2 linked regions of the Daphnia pulex genome follow. The protein of the gene in region 1 purifies or fractionates together with the protein of each later gene. This does not show direct contact. Links are inferred from orthologs where the notes say so. Each region holds a gene or a part of one and is shown on either strand. Other genes may lie near its edges.

The links.
Region 2: the proteins of anaphase-promoting complex subunit 4-like (region 1) and anaphase-promoting complex subunit 7-like purify together in Homo sapiens (affinity purification with western blotting; 14 studies listed by BioGRID and IntAct, with this or other methods). This does not show direct contact. The link is inferred for Daphnia pulex from reciprocal best matches to the Homo sapiens genes ANAPC4 and ANAPC7.

Annotation. Positions count from the first base shown.
Region 1 is NC_060021.1:8,249,996-8,260,799, reverse strand, and holds anaphase-promoting complex subunit 4-like, read right to left. Parts: upstream 5,505-10,804; 5' UTR 5,252-5,504; coding exon 5,137-5,251; intron 5,059-5,136; coding exon 2,911-5,058; intron 2,889-2,910; exon of another isoform or gene 2,828-2,888; coding exon 2,763-2,827; 3' UTR 2,727-2,762; coding exon of another isoform or gene 2,613-2,726; 3' UTR 2,577-2,612; downstream 1-2,576. Other genes in the region: condensin-2 complex subunit H2-like, read left to right, coding at 282-604, 674-1,065, 1,126-1,367, 1,464-1,576, 1,638-1,840, 1,908-2,027, 2,113-2,243, 2,313-2,549 and 1 more. UniProt on the Homo sapiens protein: Component of the anaphase promoting complex/cyclosome (APC/C), a cell cycle-regulated E3 ubiquitin ligase that controls progression through mitosis and the G1 phase of the cell cycle.
Region 2 is NC_060017.1:4,025,344-4,028,943, forward strand, and holds the start of anaphase-promoting complex subunit 7-like, read left to right. Parts: upstream 1-1,388; 5' UTR 1,389-1,565; coding exon 1,566-1,631; intron 1,632-1,934; coding exon 1,935-2,151; intron 2,152-2,216; coding exon 2,217-2,508; intron 2,509-2,587; coding exon 2,588-2,771; intron 2,772-2,833; coding exon 2,834-2,971; intron 2,972-3,038; coding exon 3,039-3,104; intron 3,105-3,174; coding exon 3,175-3,278; intron 3,279-3,407; coding exon 3,408-3,552; intron 3,553-3,600. Other genes in the region: myb-like protein K, read left to right, coding at 4-387, 501-1,123. UniProt on the Homo sapiens protein: Component of the anaphase promoting complex/cyclosome (APC/C), a cell cycle-regulated E3 ubiquitin ligase that controls progression through mitosis and the G1 phase of the cell cycle.

The DNA of each region.
Region 1 (10,804 bases):
CAAAAATCTAAACACTGAGAGTCATTATAGGTGGCGCTACGTACATGGCCACCAAAGTTTGACCCTTGATTTAGTTGCATAGTGGGCCTTGTACTTCAGAACTAAACGCAACACTTACGTTTACTCCAAAATTCAATTTTTGAATTGTTGTGTTTTCTTGTTTGTTCAGGCAAAGTGGCTGACAGTTTATTTTTCAATATGAAAAATGTTCTTCTTTTTCTGAAATAGTTAAAGATTCGAGATATTTTTTGTTGTAATAAGTTTCGCAGTCGTGTTAAACAATGGGCCCTGGTCTTGCGAATTCGAGTGGGAGTTCTGTTGAAGAAGATGATGTTTTCAGTTCTCAATTTGCTGCTCTTCTTAAGCCAATTCGAGAGCTTACTAAACAAGGATGTTGGGAGCTGAATATAGCTGATAAATTGGAGGAATATGTCCAGTATATTCAAGATTTGCGGATTGAAGTTAATGTAAACGGGGAGCAAATGAAGCTAGATTTTGCTAAGGCTGCTATGGTTGTACAGAATAGTGCACAAATCTATAGCAAGAAAGTTGAGCAGCTCTGGCTTCTTCTCCAAGAAGTGATTGAGTTTTTAAGTTCGAATGGGTAACTAAAATCATGTACTGTACAATGTTTTACTTTCTAATAAAACACATTTCTCTCTACTCTCTATAGGAATGGTAATGAAAATGATGAAAATCAAACACCTGGCTCCAAGATAAGAAGAAATCACCGAAAAAAACATCACAAAGGAGATGTAGATCTTATCACAGAACCAATTCCACTGAAGTTTAGAAAGTTTGGCTCAAAATTAAAGAGAAAAGCTACAGCCAAAGACACAAAAAAGATCCAAACTTTACCGTATGAAATCTTGCAACTAGAAGAAGTTATAGGAAGCTTAAATTCTGTTAAAATTAAACTCTACACACTTTCAAACGAGCATTTGGGTTACCCCTCTGATCTAAGATCTAATTTCCCCTTTGACCCTTACACTTTGTTTTTGCAAATCCATCACGCAAACGGATTTAAAGTACATCCCGAGAGAGATGTCCTTAACGAAAACCAAGGTAAAATGAAAAATGTGGATATTTTTTTCCGTTTATTAATTTATTTTATTTTTAACGAAGAAGCTGAACATTCCGTCGCAGATTTGGTGCCAACCGAACCAGTTCCTATAACGTCTATGCACCAAGATGATCTAGAAGTCGAACCTCCTAACTTGGATGATTGGCAAAATGACGGAGAAATGGCCTCAGAAAACGAAATCATTCCAGATGACCTCGAAGAAAACGGGAACTCCAACGGTTTAACCGAAGAAGTTGTTGAGAGAATGCAACTACGCCAGAGAGCTCCGGCTCCAATTTCTGTGGTACTCATTAATTCTGTTTTTTTTTTTTTATTAGAACGAATGTGTAATATTTTTTTAGATAAATTTTTTATTACATTATTGATCATCTTTTTACAGGAGAATCAAGTAAAAGAAAAAGATCCTTGGGGTGGTATGGATCCCTATTCCGAAAGTGACGCTTTAAAGAAACCTTGTGGAGCTCCGGTTCGATGCAAGATGCCTGTTGCCTTGTAAGTTCCGATTTTCGGTCAAACTGCTTTATTACGTCATTTATCAAACAATCGCTTACAGGAGAAAACGGAAAGGGGTGGGGAAGGTTCCCATAAATGAAGAAATTTGCGTTGAAATAGACGAATTTCTAGGGAAAAGTCAAATCGTTAAAAAGCCTGCCTTAAAATATTCCCAGCCTGATACCGAATTCTGGGAAGATTACGTACACTTTACGAAAACAACTGGGACCGTCATTAAAAAACAACAAAAACTTCGGCCTGAAAGTCAGTATATTTTGAATAATTCGCAAAAGAATGTGGAGTAATGTGTCCTTTACTCCTATCAATAAAGAAAATATCGCGGAAGGGATCGAAGAAATGGACCAACAGGACATCAATAACGAAGACGATGACCATTTCCACAAAGATACCCCAGAGTTTGAAAATAGTTTTGACAATTCTGGTGGTCTTGGTAATAATTCTTAGTTCTCCAACTTAATCTCTCAAATTGAGATACTCACTCATCAGCCCCCTCCCCCTCTCTTTTTTTTTTTCAGATGATTCATATGACGGTTTTCATCCAGAACTTGTTGGGGATCCGGTAGAACCCACAAAAGAAATGGATGAATCAAAACAGTTTTTTGAACTTGTTCAGCAGTTTATGGCAGAGTATACTGCTTCCGCCAAAGTACATACGATCCATTTACTTCTGATGAAACATTTATAATGAAATCGGTCGCATATATTTTTCTTTCAGGAATTTGTAACGTCGACTGAATCGACCCGCCGAGTTCAGGCGTGGCATGATATGATTCAACCGAGACTTCGTGAGGCCGAAACGCGTCGTGATTTTGATATTCACCTTTATGGAAGTCGCATTATAGAGGAATTCGGGTCTGATGCGCCTATAGGAAGCCAATGTGCTTTTACCAAAATTGTTCATGACCAACCGAAAAACGAAGTAGCCAGATATTTTCTCGCCACTCTGCAATTAGTAAGTTTCATAAAAGCTACAGTTCAATTTCGTTTTGATATGCAATTTTATTAACAATTATAGGCAAACGCTTACAACGTGGAAATTCAACTTCAAGATGCTTTAACTCTCGATGGAGTGGAACTAAAACTCCTATCTCGAGAGAGGCATCACGAACACATGGACGATTTCATCTGATGAACTGTCAGCAAGATGTTTGGTCCTAATAGTCCATCAGGGAGAGACGGCCATATCCACGTCGCTGATATCCTTTTGATTTCCTCCATCTTTTGATATATCTGCGATAAAAATGCCATTCCATTAACATACCTTGTTAATAATAAACAATTTGAAAGTTAACCAGGTTTTCACTTTTACGTACCGTGCGATAAGTCTGAAACATCCTCAATGTCCTGATCCTCGTCTTCGACGTCTTCTTCCTCTTCAACTTCCATGTCAAATATGCGAACCTTCCTTTTTGACGAAGAAAAGATAGCGGCAACCTTTCGACTGGACGATAGACCGAGGGTAGTAGCCTGAAAGTCGTTTAAGACACGAAACGAGCTTGCTTCAATAAAGGTATTGACATCCACTGATCGAAGATTGCCTTGGCTGAGAACTGATGAAACGAAAACGTCTGAATGGAAGGACGAGTTAAAAGGTCCTCGCCGTGACACAACGGGAGCCAAATGTTCGCGTAACAGACATAGACTGAGTTGTACGAAGATGCTATTCGTGCTGCGTTCGATCGAAAGCAAAACTGACATAATCTCGTTGTTATAGAACTGCAGATCAGCTATTTTATATTCGCCAGGAGGTAGATGGTCGCACTTGCCAAAGGAGAAGAATGCTGCTCGAGTCAAGTTCTTACGTTCCTTCTCGGAGGCGAATTCAAACAGGTAAAATCCTGAAGAATGAGTGGTCGAATTTGTCAAGCCAAGAAGATTACACCGATCTTTTGGTTGGTTGATGGATCGTGTTGTGATTCTGATCTTGTCCAGACTGTCCGAAGGACAATCTAACGTCAGGTCGGTGATAAACGGCAACGACGCAGTCTGTCCAACAGCTGAAGGGATAGCTTCGAAACTGGCTTTGACCTGATGTTCCAAATGGGCGAACTCTTGAGCAAGAGAGCGTTCAGCACGGGGTTGAAATAAGTCCGAGTCCTGAAGATTCGCAATAGATGGACAAGCTTCTATCAACATGTCCCAGGGTCTAGTTTTAGAGCTGGCAACAAAAGTCAACGGCTCATTCCTCAAATATTGCCCAATACGATCCAGACGTACTTGTCCATCGGTCTCAAAATCTTTGGCGAGGAAGTTGGCGATAAACCGTACATCTTGCTGGGTACTGGTGGCAAGCTCGGGTGGGATAGGCTCGTCCGAGAGGCGCAAGATGGTAACGTAAAGCCAGCGGAAGAATGTCTTGAGGTACTTGACAGAACCATCGATCACCTGTTGAAGCTCAGCGGTTTTGGCGGTAAAAGAGCCGGCCGCCCGGTATGCAGCTAAACACGAATTGACTTGGAGGCCGAGGCATGAGAAACGATCTTCTTGTTTGGCCAGCCCGCAAAGTTGTGTCAAATAGTGCGACAGTTGGTAGTTGGCACACACGATGTGTTTGATGAGCAGTTTCTGCATGTTGCTATAGGATAACTCTACGGCTTGGCCGATTCGTTTCAATCCTTTGTCAGTCAAATCGGTAACAAGAAATTTCTCCAGCTTGATCCCGGCGTGGCCAAACATCAGGAGCTCCATCAAGTCGACAGATAAGCTACTCTTGCCGTCGTTGCTTTCATAGCGAACCATTTTCGATTCGAGGTCGACTAGTGCATCCTCCCAGGCTTCTTGTAGAGCTTTCTGAGCACTGATTAGGCAGTCCATGAGGCCAGTTATCTGCCGATAGAGAAATCCTAGACCGTACAACTCTTTCAAACAATGAGTTATGAGTGGGGTTTCCACAGTCATGAGTAAAACTTCTGAGGATCCGGCACGAACATCGGCTAGTAAACACAGTTGGCTGTGATCACCATTCGGGAAAACACTTCGTACAGGTCCGATTGAATCGCTCCCACCACTCATTTCTGAAAGTTTTAGAAGGCAGCAAGGAAAGAGTCCAAAGGCGAATCCGTAAACTAACCCATTCTTTAGTCCAATCCACAAAATGCTCAGTAATTCTTCATGTTTCAATCCTTTGTCGCCATCAAGTGCTGACCCAGCATCTAGCTTTGAAGAGTTAACTTTCAATGGTTGAGGCAGCAGTTCTGGCAGCAAAAAATTGTCTGCCTCTTCTTTCACACTTGTGCTGCAGTTTTCCCAGGAAAGAGCTGTGATGGGTTCCTCACATGGGTTGAATGTGTGTACTACTTCTCCAGATTCAACGTCAACTAGAACCACATGCCCAGAACTGTATCCTACAGCTAGTATCACACTGTCTGGTCTCCAAACGATCGCTGTGACTTTGACACCATCACCTCTTTTAGAAAGCTTCCAAACTTTGCTCCATGACAACCTTCTCAGAAAAACCTCACCTACAAGAAAATAACATACAAAACAAATTTTATTATCATAGTAACACAATGGGAAAAAGAAGGATTGCAAGTTTTCACCAGAGCTGTTTGAGACGGCAATCAGATCTCGTCTGGAAGACCACAAAAGGATTTCTGTTGACGCAGTTCCAAGAATGTGTTTTTCGTCACTCTGTCTCATCATACACGACACCATTTTAAGCTGATTGTGTTTTTACACGACAATCTCGATTAGACAGAAATTAAGGAACATGTATTTACAACTTTTCGAACTTTTTTTCGGTTTCTTCTCTAGGCAACTTGAGTACATCTAGCGGTCGATTTTTAAACTGCCTGGAAACATTCAGATTTGAATTCTACCTTTTTATTACGTGTTACCTTCAAGTGTTCAACGTTATTCGCTTTTTATTTCAGTCACCACTGGAGGCCAATTGTATCGCATGGCTCTTGACGTCCATGGCTGTAGTTCGTTAACTGAATAAATAGCCACACAGTGTGATAGAATGTCTCCCCAAATTTATTTTTTTAAGGCATTTGCCGCCGCATCTTTTCAACAAGCATAAGCTCGTCTATCCGTAAATGGATGCGAAATTGAATTCGGGTTTCTGGCAAATAGGATAATCTCTTGGCCAAACAGAAACCCAGTTGATAACCTCACCACGTAAAAAATGAGCGCTATTCTTAGGCATCGAGGATTAAGCGAAGCATCGCTCCCGTGCGTTCGCGGGTGCTAAAGAAATCGATCGGAAAATAACGAACTCCCTTTGCGACACGATTATTTACCTTCATGAGAGTTTGCTCTGTTTTCTGCTTGTCTTGTCGCCGGTCGTTGATAATAATAAAACGTCATGCTGCTATATACAGTAGCAGTTGCCTAATATTTTACCGCACTTAGCCTTAGGAAAACGTGTGGGCGTTGACGGGGTCTCCCATTTCGTGCAATGTGCAGAAGCTCTCACGCGCGGGGGGAACACTTCTGCTCCTTCGGAGTGGCACAACATTGATTCATTATTTATTCGTTATCAGCGAATTTGTGCTTTTACGTCTAGACGATTGTGTTTTCGTAGCAACTTGTAAACGAAATAAAAAAAAACACGTAGTCAGATGGGAGAAAGAAAAAGTCGATATCCAAATAAGAAAAATCATCTTCTCTAAATGTATATTGTACCAGTACCTAGCCTATATAGTGCTCCTGAAGAGGATGAGGAGCAACAAGAACTTCGATTTCCACACAACTACTTTCTTTTGCTTGCTGACGTTCTCCTGTTCACACAGTTCAATGATTGTGGATTATGCGTATCAGTGCTCGTTATTCGTTGGACTCTAGAGACTGGAAAAAAAGGCACGATTATGGAGTTGGATCTTATTTGTATTCAATGCAGCAGTCTAGCGGGACCACCAACGTTCTGGTCGGTTTGAGGTGACTCCGGGGGGACACTGCGAACGGCGGGGTAATGCATAGCAACCACCGTCGATATAGACTCGAAATAATAGGAGAAAGGAGAGTTCATCCGTGCCTAGCCAACAAGCAAGCTTCATCCTATATTCAACAGAGATTGAATATTATTCCAACATTCTTTTTTTTAGGCGATTCGGATTTGTTGTCTTTACTAGTTCCTATTTTTAGTCTGGCAGTGATTTTTCCGTTATTTGACATGACCGTTTGTATACATGACTGTCGGGCCGAGATTAGATCATTGGTTTCGCTTTGACCGAATGTGAGACGCTTGAATCGCGCGTTTCTTGATGCAGGCCGACACTCATCAATTCAACGGCAATCGCGTAATTCTCCTTTCCATTCACCAGATAAGCAAACAGCACAGACTATTCAACACAAGGACAAACAGAAGAGAAAACGTGGAAAGGAAAGCGTAGGCGGAATAATATCAATTTTCTATCCCCTTTTCTTTTCCGCATTTTCATTTTTGATGTGCCTTTGCCTGTTTTTAAAAGAAAAATCAATGTTTAAAAATAGAACATAGTACCGCCGTCAATGTATTGCATGATCGATCTAATGTGCCTACGTAGATATCCTTAATGGAACCCTTTTTGTCCAAGTTTTTGTCCTTTTGTTGCTTCTCGACTCGCAAAAAGAAAAGAGCCTGGTAAAAAGAAATCAAATTTCCCCAGCTATATTAAGACTTTATATATAAACGTCCGCTACGTATTTCCTATCCAGAGTTCACGTTTAAAAGCGTCCATGTAGAGCATAGACTTTACCTATACAGTAGGTGTATTGGGTGCACGGGTCTTAATGACGTACGCCCACCCAAGTGTCGTACACCTCTTGATCAAAACCAGTAAGGTCTCGTTTCCCGTTGTGAACTTCAGTTATAGCACAACATTAGCCTTACTCGTTTGTTGTCGTATAAGATACGATCAATGGGCGCATCATCAAATCACTGTCATCGACGAATCGTTTGTTTGACAACGCCAAATTATAAAAGTCGAGCCGGATTCTGTACTCTTCACGTAACGCAAGTCACCGAGTTAAACGAGGTGACGTCAAACTTCGTCAGCGCCAAAACTGCTATACGTGTTTTACATGCTAAAGTCAATCCCATCATTTTATTTCAATCAAAATTACTATATAATCAAGGGGCCTTATAACGGAAGACGAAAACCAGTCGAAACTAGGTCTTTCTCATAACAGTAACTTACGATTGGCATTAAATTTAACCCTTCAACATTTGGGTCACATTTCTCCTATGAAGAAAGTAGATTCTTCTCCTAGGACACCAGAGCAACATCGGACACGGATGTCACTCCCTGCCACCTGATACAGGTTACATCCCATTTTAATTGGATTAACGAACCAACACCCTAGAAAAAGTTCGGAAGAAGAATAAAGAATGTATGGGGAGAGACGAGAAGTTATTACAACTAGTTAAACAAATGGATCGCGCTGGAGAGAGGGGGAGGGTATACATAGTATATACGGGGAAATATATCAGCACGCAAAGTTTTCTCTTTCGCATACATTTCCCGCTACATCCATCAGACAGCTTTTTGGGTTTTGATGTAGTAGATATATGTTGCCTTTTAGTCACAATGTTTTATTACTATTGATGCGATGATGCCGATAATAAAACAGGGTATAGATCGGCGGTCGCCAGTCACGCATGCAAGTCGTATGTATCAACGTGACCGTTTCCATCAAATATAAAAAGGTGAACCTTTGTGAGCTTTTTTACGGCGTGTGCCGACGTGCTGTATAAGTTCGGGCGTCATGATTGTTCGCCAGTCTCCGTTATTGGGCGCGGTATCGTTTCGTTCCGACTGTTTCTCCCGATTCGTCTTCATCAGAATTCGTTATTAACTGCTCTAATGGATGGTTATTAAAAAAGACCCTCGATCGTTCAACGTGAATATCAGCAAGGCAGTCATACTAAACCGCTGACGTACAGTCGTCCATCATTCAATTCAATGGAGATTAAAAACACTATAGTGGATTATGTACAGGACTGTTGGTCTTGATTCGTTATAATTCTAATCAAACAGAAGTCGCTGTATTATACCCGCACAATATCCGTCCAGCTTATGGACTTACATAAGCTGCATCGTATTAAGAAGAAGGTGAAACCCATTTAAAAAAATTAAGAAAGAAAGCAAACTCTATCGGGATGAGGTACGCATAAGAGTACATAACCGAAGGACTATACGCGGTGCATGCATGATATGCGCCACCTCATCTTGGAGACCTTTCACGCAACAGCATGGCACAAGTGCTGATGTGTGGGTGACATCAGTTCTATTTCCGAAGCGTGACTCTACATTGGGAAAATGTTTCTCTTTCTTTTGTTTTCCTTGGACTTTTGCTTGTCCTTTTTTTTTCCCCCACAGAAGCGACAGCGGTATGAACGGACGTAGACGCACATAGTTCTTGCGGCCCCGCCAACGCATCACGCATTAACACCGCTTGCTGCACGGAAAACAGGATTCCCGGCATTCTCTGGCCCTCTCCTGTCGTTGGGTGCCCGTTGGCCGCTCCATCAGTGTCTCCAGCTGCTGACGACCGCTTTGTTGGGAATTTTCTGGTAGCTACAGATGAAAAGTCGTCAGTTTAGATGGCCACTCGTCGTCGTTACAAATACATATAAATGCTAAGGCGACTTTTACGAAGGTCGAACTGGTTTCTCAATATGCCCTCAGCAGGTCACGTATACACGATCCTAAACGCCCTCCAAGCTATGCGCATTGTGTGAAAGAGTATACTTTTGGAAGGATACCAAGAGTGAACAAATAAGGTACTGTCAAATATTCTCTGGCGTCGCGTCTCGTATAAATATCCGCAGCGGACGTTTACGGTACAATACCCACATCTCGATGCCGGAATCGTGTAAAGTGGAAATCGTCTTCCGCTGTGAAACAAAAATAAAAGACACCACCAAAATGACAGAATATAAACGGCGGACCCATTGTCGACCGATTGCCCGCACTTTTTCGTCTCCATTTCGGGACAACTTCAACGTCAAGGAAATGGAAGGACCGAAATAACAGCACAGCGGAGAAAAAGAAGAAGAAGAAAAAAAAAACGGGATTCCGGACGCGGATGAGTGGGAGTATAGCAGCACGTCCTGATTGCATATTGTTTATAGGATGACACCCCCGCAAGCGATGATGATGGCAACGTGATAATTTAATGGTGCGCTTGGCTGAACGGAGAGAATAAGAACGGAGACTCTCGGATGACGCCCAGAACTCCGGGATCTGCACGGAAAGAAGAAGAAAACCCACACGGCAATGGTGATCTATATGGATTTCGTGACAGTCAAGGAATAACTTCCGGGGAAAGTCCGGGCCAAAGTTGCTGTCGTATAAAAAAATAAAAGATTTTGGCTGCTGTTTCGTGCTGATCTCACAGCTGCAGCCCTTGTTGTCTTTACTTGGAATTGCAATGAACCTCTTGGCTATATGGCGCAACACTGGCAACAGCAACTGTTTCTCTTTTGAACGGTGACGTACTGAATAAATGAATGAAAATAATAATCACATATAGATGGAAAGCTTAGATTATATACGAGGTTGGAAGTAAAACTTATTTTTTGTGTTAGATACGATTGTGTAGCAACACCTTGAGGGAAAAACCCTATGACGTCGGTCAATTGTTTGCCGAGGCCGTCGCCATCCGCTTGGCTCCCGTGTTTGTCTATTTGATGGCAAAAATGCGACAGAATCAGTATAGAGAAAAGAAGAAGGAAAATAAAAAAGAGGTTGCCGATGTCTATAGCTACGATTTCGTATGCAGGAAGAGAAAACAGCCGACGGGGACGAATCAACATTGCGGAGCGCGGGCGAAAGCTCTCAGGTTGCGGCGGCAGAGAAGAAGATGGAACGTCAACACACGGGAGACCACCCGTAGGCGCAAACGTGGAAAAACTTTCCGTCTTTCGTCACATGTCAAACGAAACCATCCCCAGAACTCGGTTGTGCTGTTACAAAGAATAGAAGAAGAAACACAACCCACTCTTGTTACCTTGTACGGAACCTAAGACTGTATCAAGTTTTCCCATGTTGATTTACATTTTAATATTTCCCCGGTGGTTGGCAAATATTGCTGCCGTACGCTTTCGGCGAACTTGCTGTTTGCATTCATGGCGGCGGCAGAGAAAAAAATTTAACTTTTGAACGCAAATAATAATAAAAAAAAGAGGATGCTATACACAATGGCGGCCTAATTGAATCGCAGGTGCCGCTCCTTTCTTTTTGTTGGCCGGAGGATTTTCTATACACAGTTTGCGAGTGCCGT
Region 2 (3,600 bases), on another chromosome or scaffold:
TAGCCGTCATTGTATTGGCGTCCGTCTGGAATGGATTCACTCTGGCTGTTCCGCTACCTCAGCCAGACGTCGCCAACTCAACGGCGCCGGTGTCTCCTGCCGAAAAGTCGTCCAATGTCAAAAGTCGCCAGTTCAATGCGAACGTGCCGACAGGAGCCACTGGGCTGAGCGGTGGAAGCGCGGCCGGAATGCAAAGTCCTCTTCAGCAATTGGCCCTCCTGCAGCAAATGACCAACTCCAACAACAACCCCATGTCCATAGCCTCCGAACTGGAGGCACAGAAACAGGAAAACTTCCATTTGCAGAACCAAAAACAACAGCAGGGTCTATTAGCTTCGGTTCACATCAAGCAAGACCAGATTGCAACAGCACAGGCAGCCATAACAAGTATGTATGCGTGTGACACACAAATGACAGTCGAATTCCGTTCACGCCATTAAGAACCGTTTGATCAGTTGATTGACCTCTATCTTGTTTTTCCTTCATTCTTGCATTTATAGATCAGAGTAATATGGTGAACGGCCACCAACCTGGTGCTGTGATGCAAGCGGCGCTCAATCCACAGTTGCAGCAACTTCAACAGAACCTGGAAGCGCAAAAGCAGCAGCTCTTGGTCCAGCAGCAGGTACTCCAGCAGCAGGTGAAACCGGAAGCTCAGCAATTTAACAAACAACAAATCCTGATGGCCCAGCTTCTGAACGAGCCTCCGGCTAAGCGTCCTCAGCTTTGGGAACAAATCAAGCAGACGGTGACGAAACAGGAAGCTGCCATGATGGTCAATCCGTTGGCCCAGCAAGGACAGTTGGGCTTCTCTCAGATGAGCCTGGCGCAGCAGCCGAGCAGAAGCCAACAGGAATTGCAACGATACCAGACGTTGATTCAACTCTTGGGTTTGGCCAATCTGGCCTCTTCAAGCAACCCCAACCGCCAAGGATACTACACCGATCCCAATAGATCAATGGTCGCCGGTGGTCTACCTTATTCATCGTTCGGGAGCAATGCGGCAATGAGCGTTCAGGCCGTACAAATGATGCATCAGCAGCAAATGCTCTTGCTTCAACGACAGCAACAAATGATGATGCTTCGACAGCAAATGGCGATGATGAATCCGTTCATGTTCTAACATCGTCCTCCCTTTAATAACTTTATTCTTATATTTATGTTCCCACACTTTGCTCCCTAAATTAAAGCGTCCACTTAATTTTATTTGCATCTCTCTTTCCTGTTTCTCGTCGAGGAAGGAATAAAATAAATATACATTGTTTTACGTTAGTAAAATATTGAATGTTGTTACTGAATGTTGAATTTGATTAGATAATAATTTAATTTTTTAAATAATTTTAACGAAATTAGTAGATTCAGCATTCAGTACGCTGGTGCGCCGGTAGGCCTACGCTGTTTGTTGTCTCTCCGTACCGATAATCCCGCACTTTACGCGTTTCCAACCCTTCTCTGCACTTTACCACTTTATATTGTGATTTTCTTATTGGTGACTGCTGATCAAGTTTGTGTTATAGTTTTTTTCTTCTCTTTGAGTATATATATTACTTTCAGAGTTAGTCATTATGATTCTTCACGAGCAAATTCAAATGTTGTTTGATAACAAACTTTATACAAATATTGTTGCTCTGGTAACTATATAGTTTCTTGTGCTTTCCGTGAATGTTATCGATAGCTAAATGTCACCATTGTATTGCAATGCTATAAATATTAACAAATGTTTTAGTTATATCATTTATATTTTTGTTTGGGCAGTAGTATCTACTCCTACAACTCATATTATTCCATTTTGAATAAGTGCTACTGGTGACTTTTACCTTGAGTATGACAATAGGAATGAGTTCAGTGTAGATTTCATTCTATTACCATAGACTACGAAGTAGTGTAGTCTATGCTAATTACCAATCTAATGAATATCTGGAATTTTTCTACAGGCTCCAATGGTTCTTTCAGCTACTGATAACAATCCTGAGCTTTTACCTCCTGCAAGCATTGCCCAAACAATGGTGTACCTTGCAGATTCATTCCTTGAACAAAAGGAATATGGAAAAGCAGAAGTTTATTACAGAAAAGCCCTAGATCTGAGAAAAACCCTTTCTAAACAAAGGGGGATGGGAAATAGTGCTGCCAAAGAGCTTTCAGCTGAAACAGGTTTGATGTTCTGTTTTAAAGTATAAACAAGTTTTTCCTAAATAAGTTTGAAATAACAATTCTAGAGATTCGCTATCAAATGCACATATGCCACCTTGCTTTAAAACAGTCAGTGCAAGCACTTCTTGTCCTTCAAGGGATCCCAGCCAAACTACGATCAGTTAGGGTTAATATGGCTTTAGGCAAGTTGTATGTTATGAATGGGCTTGAACGCCCAGCCATTTCTGCTTTTAAAGAGGTTATTCGTGAATGTCCTTTGGCCCTAGAAGCTATATTGGCTTTGATTAAACTTGGAGTTAGTTATGTTGAACTTGTTCGTTTAATTTTTAATGGAAACCCATCAAATAACTTAGATTGGTGAGTAGGCTCATATGTATAAAATGTAAATCTTTGTTGAATAATGTTTATTTTCGTTTTTTTCCCTTAAATTCTGAAGGGTTGTTCAGTGGATCAAAGGACAGTGCCATCTTCATTCTTGTGAATATTTGAGTGCTTCTACCATTTTTTGCCATTTGCAAGATGCATCATTGCTCAAAGATGATGTAACAAATTTGGTATCACAAGGAACAACCCTTTTCTTGGCCGGGGATGGAGCGGGCGCCCTTCTACCGCTTCAACGAGTATGTTAAATGATTTGAGAAAAAAAATATCTGGTGCTCATCTCATATTTGCGTTTGTTCAGGCGCATTCCCTCGATCCTTTGTCGCTAAAAGGAATGGATATTTTAGCAGTCATTTTAGCGAATGAAAAGAAAAGTGTTGAACTTGAAGCACTAGCTCTCAAGCTAATCTCTGTTTCTGATTCTAGCTTCGAATCGTGGGTAAAATTATTTGTTTTTTATTTCTAATTACCCTTGTTCCTGTATTAATTTTAATTTATCAAATTAGGTGGCCATGGGATACCATTATCTTTTGTCACGCAAACTAACTCGCGCTCTGTACCTTGCGCATAAAGTAAGATAGCAATGCCGATGTGGTCTTATTACAAATAGTTTTAAAAACCGCGCAAACATATTTCTCATAGGCTTGCACATGTTGCATTCCAACCCCTGGGATAGAGCCCCTAATCCTTAAGGGTACGATTTTACAAGAGCTTAAAAAATGGCCTGAAGCTATCACACATTTTAGGTAAGTCCTGTGATGTTTAAAAAAAAATTATTGAAATATATTTTTTAATTATTGAGATATTTTTTAAATTTTAGTAATATTTAAAAAAAAATTATAGTAATATTAACAACAAGTTTAACATGATAATAGGGAAGGATTACAGACAGCTCCGCACCGATTCGAAATCTATCGTGGTATAGTTCACTGTTATCTAGCGCTTCAGCGAAGTCGAGAAGCCATGAATATAGCTGCTAGCTCTCTTCATCATATTGGTCATACACCTCGCACTTTCACGGTTAGCATTCTTTACAGTGTTTCGTGTTAATCATTCGTTTAAAGCAGA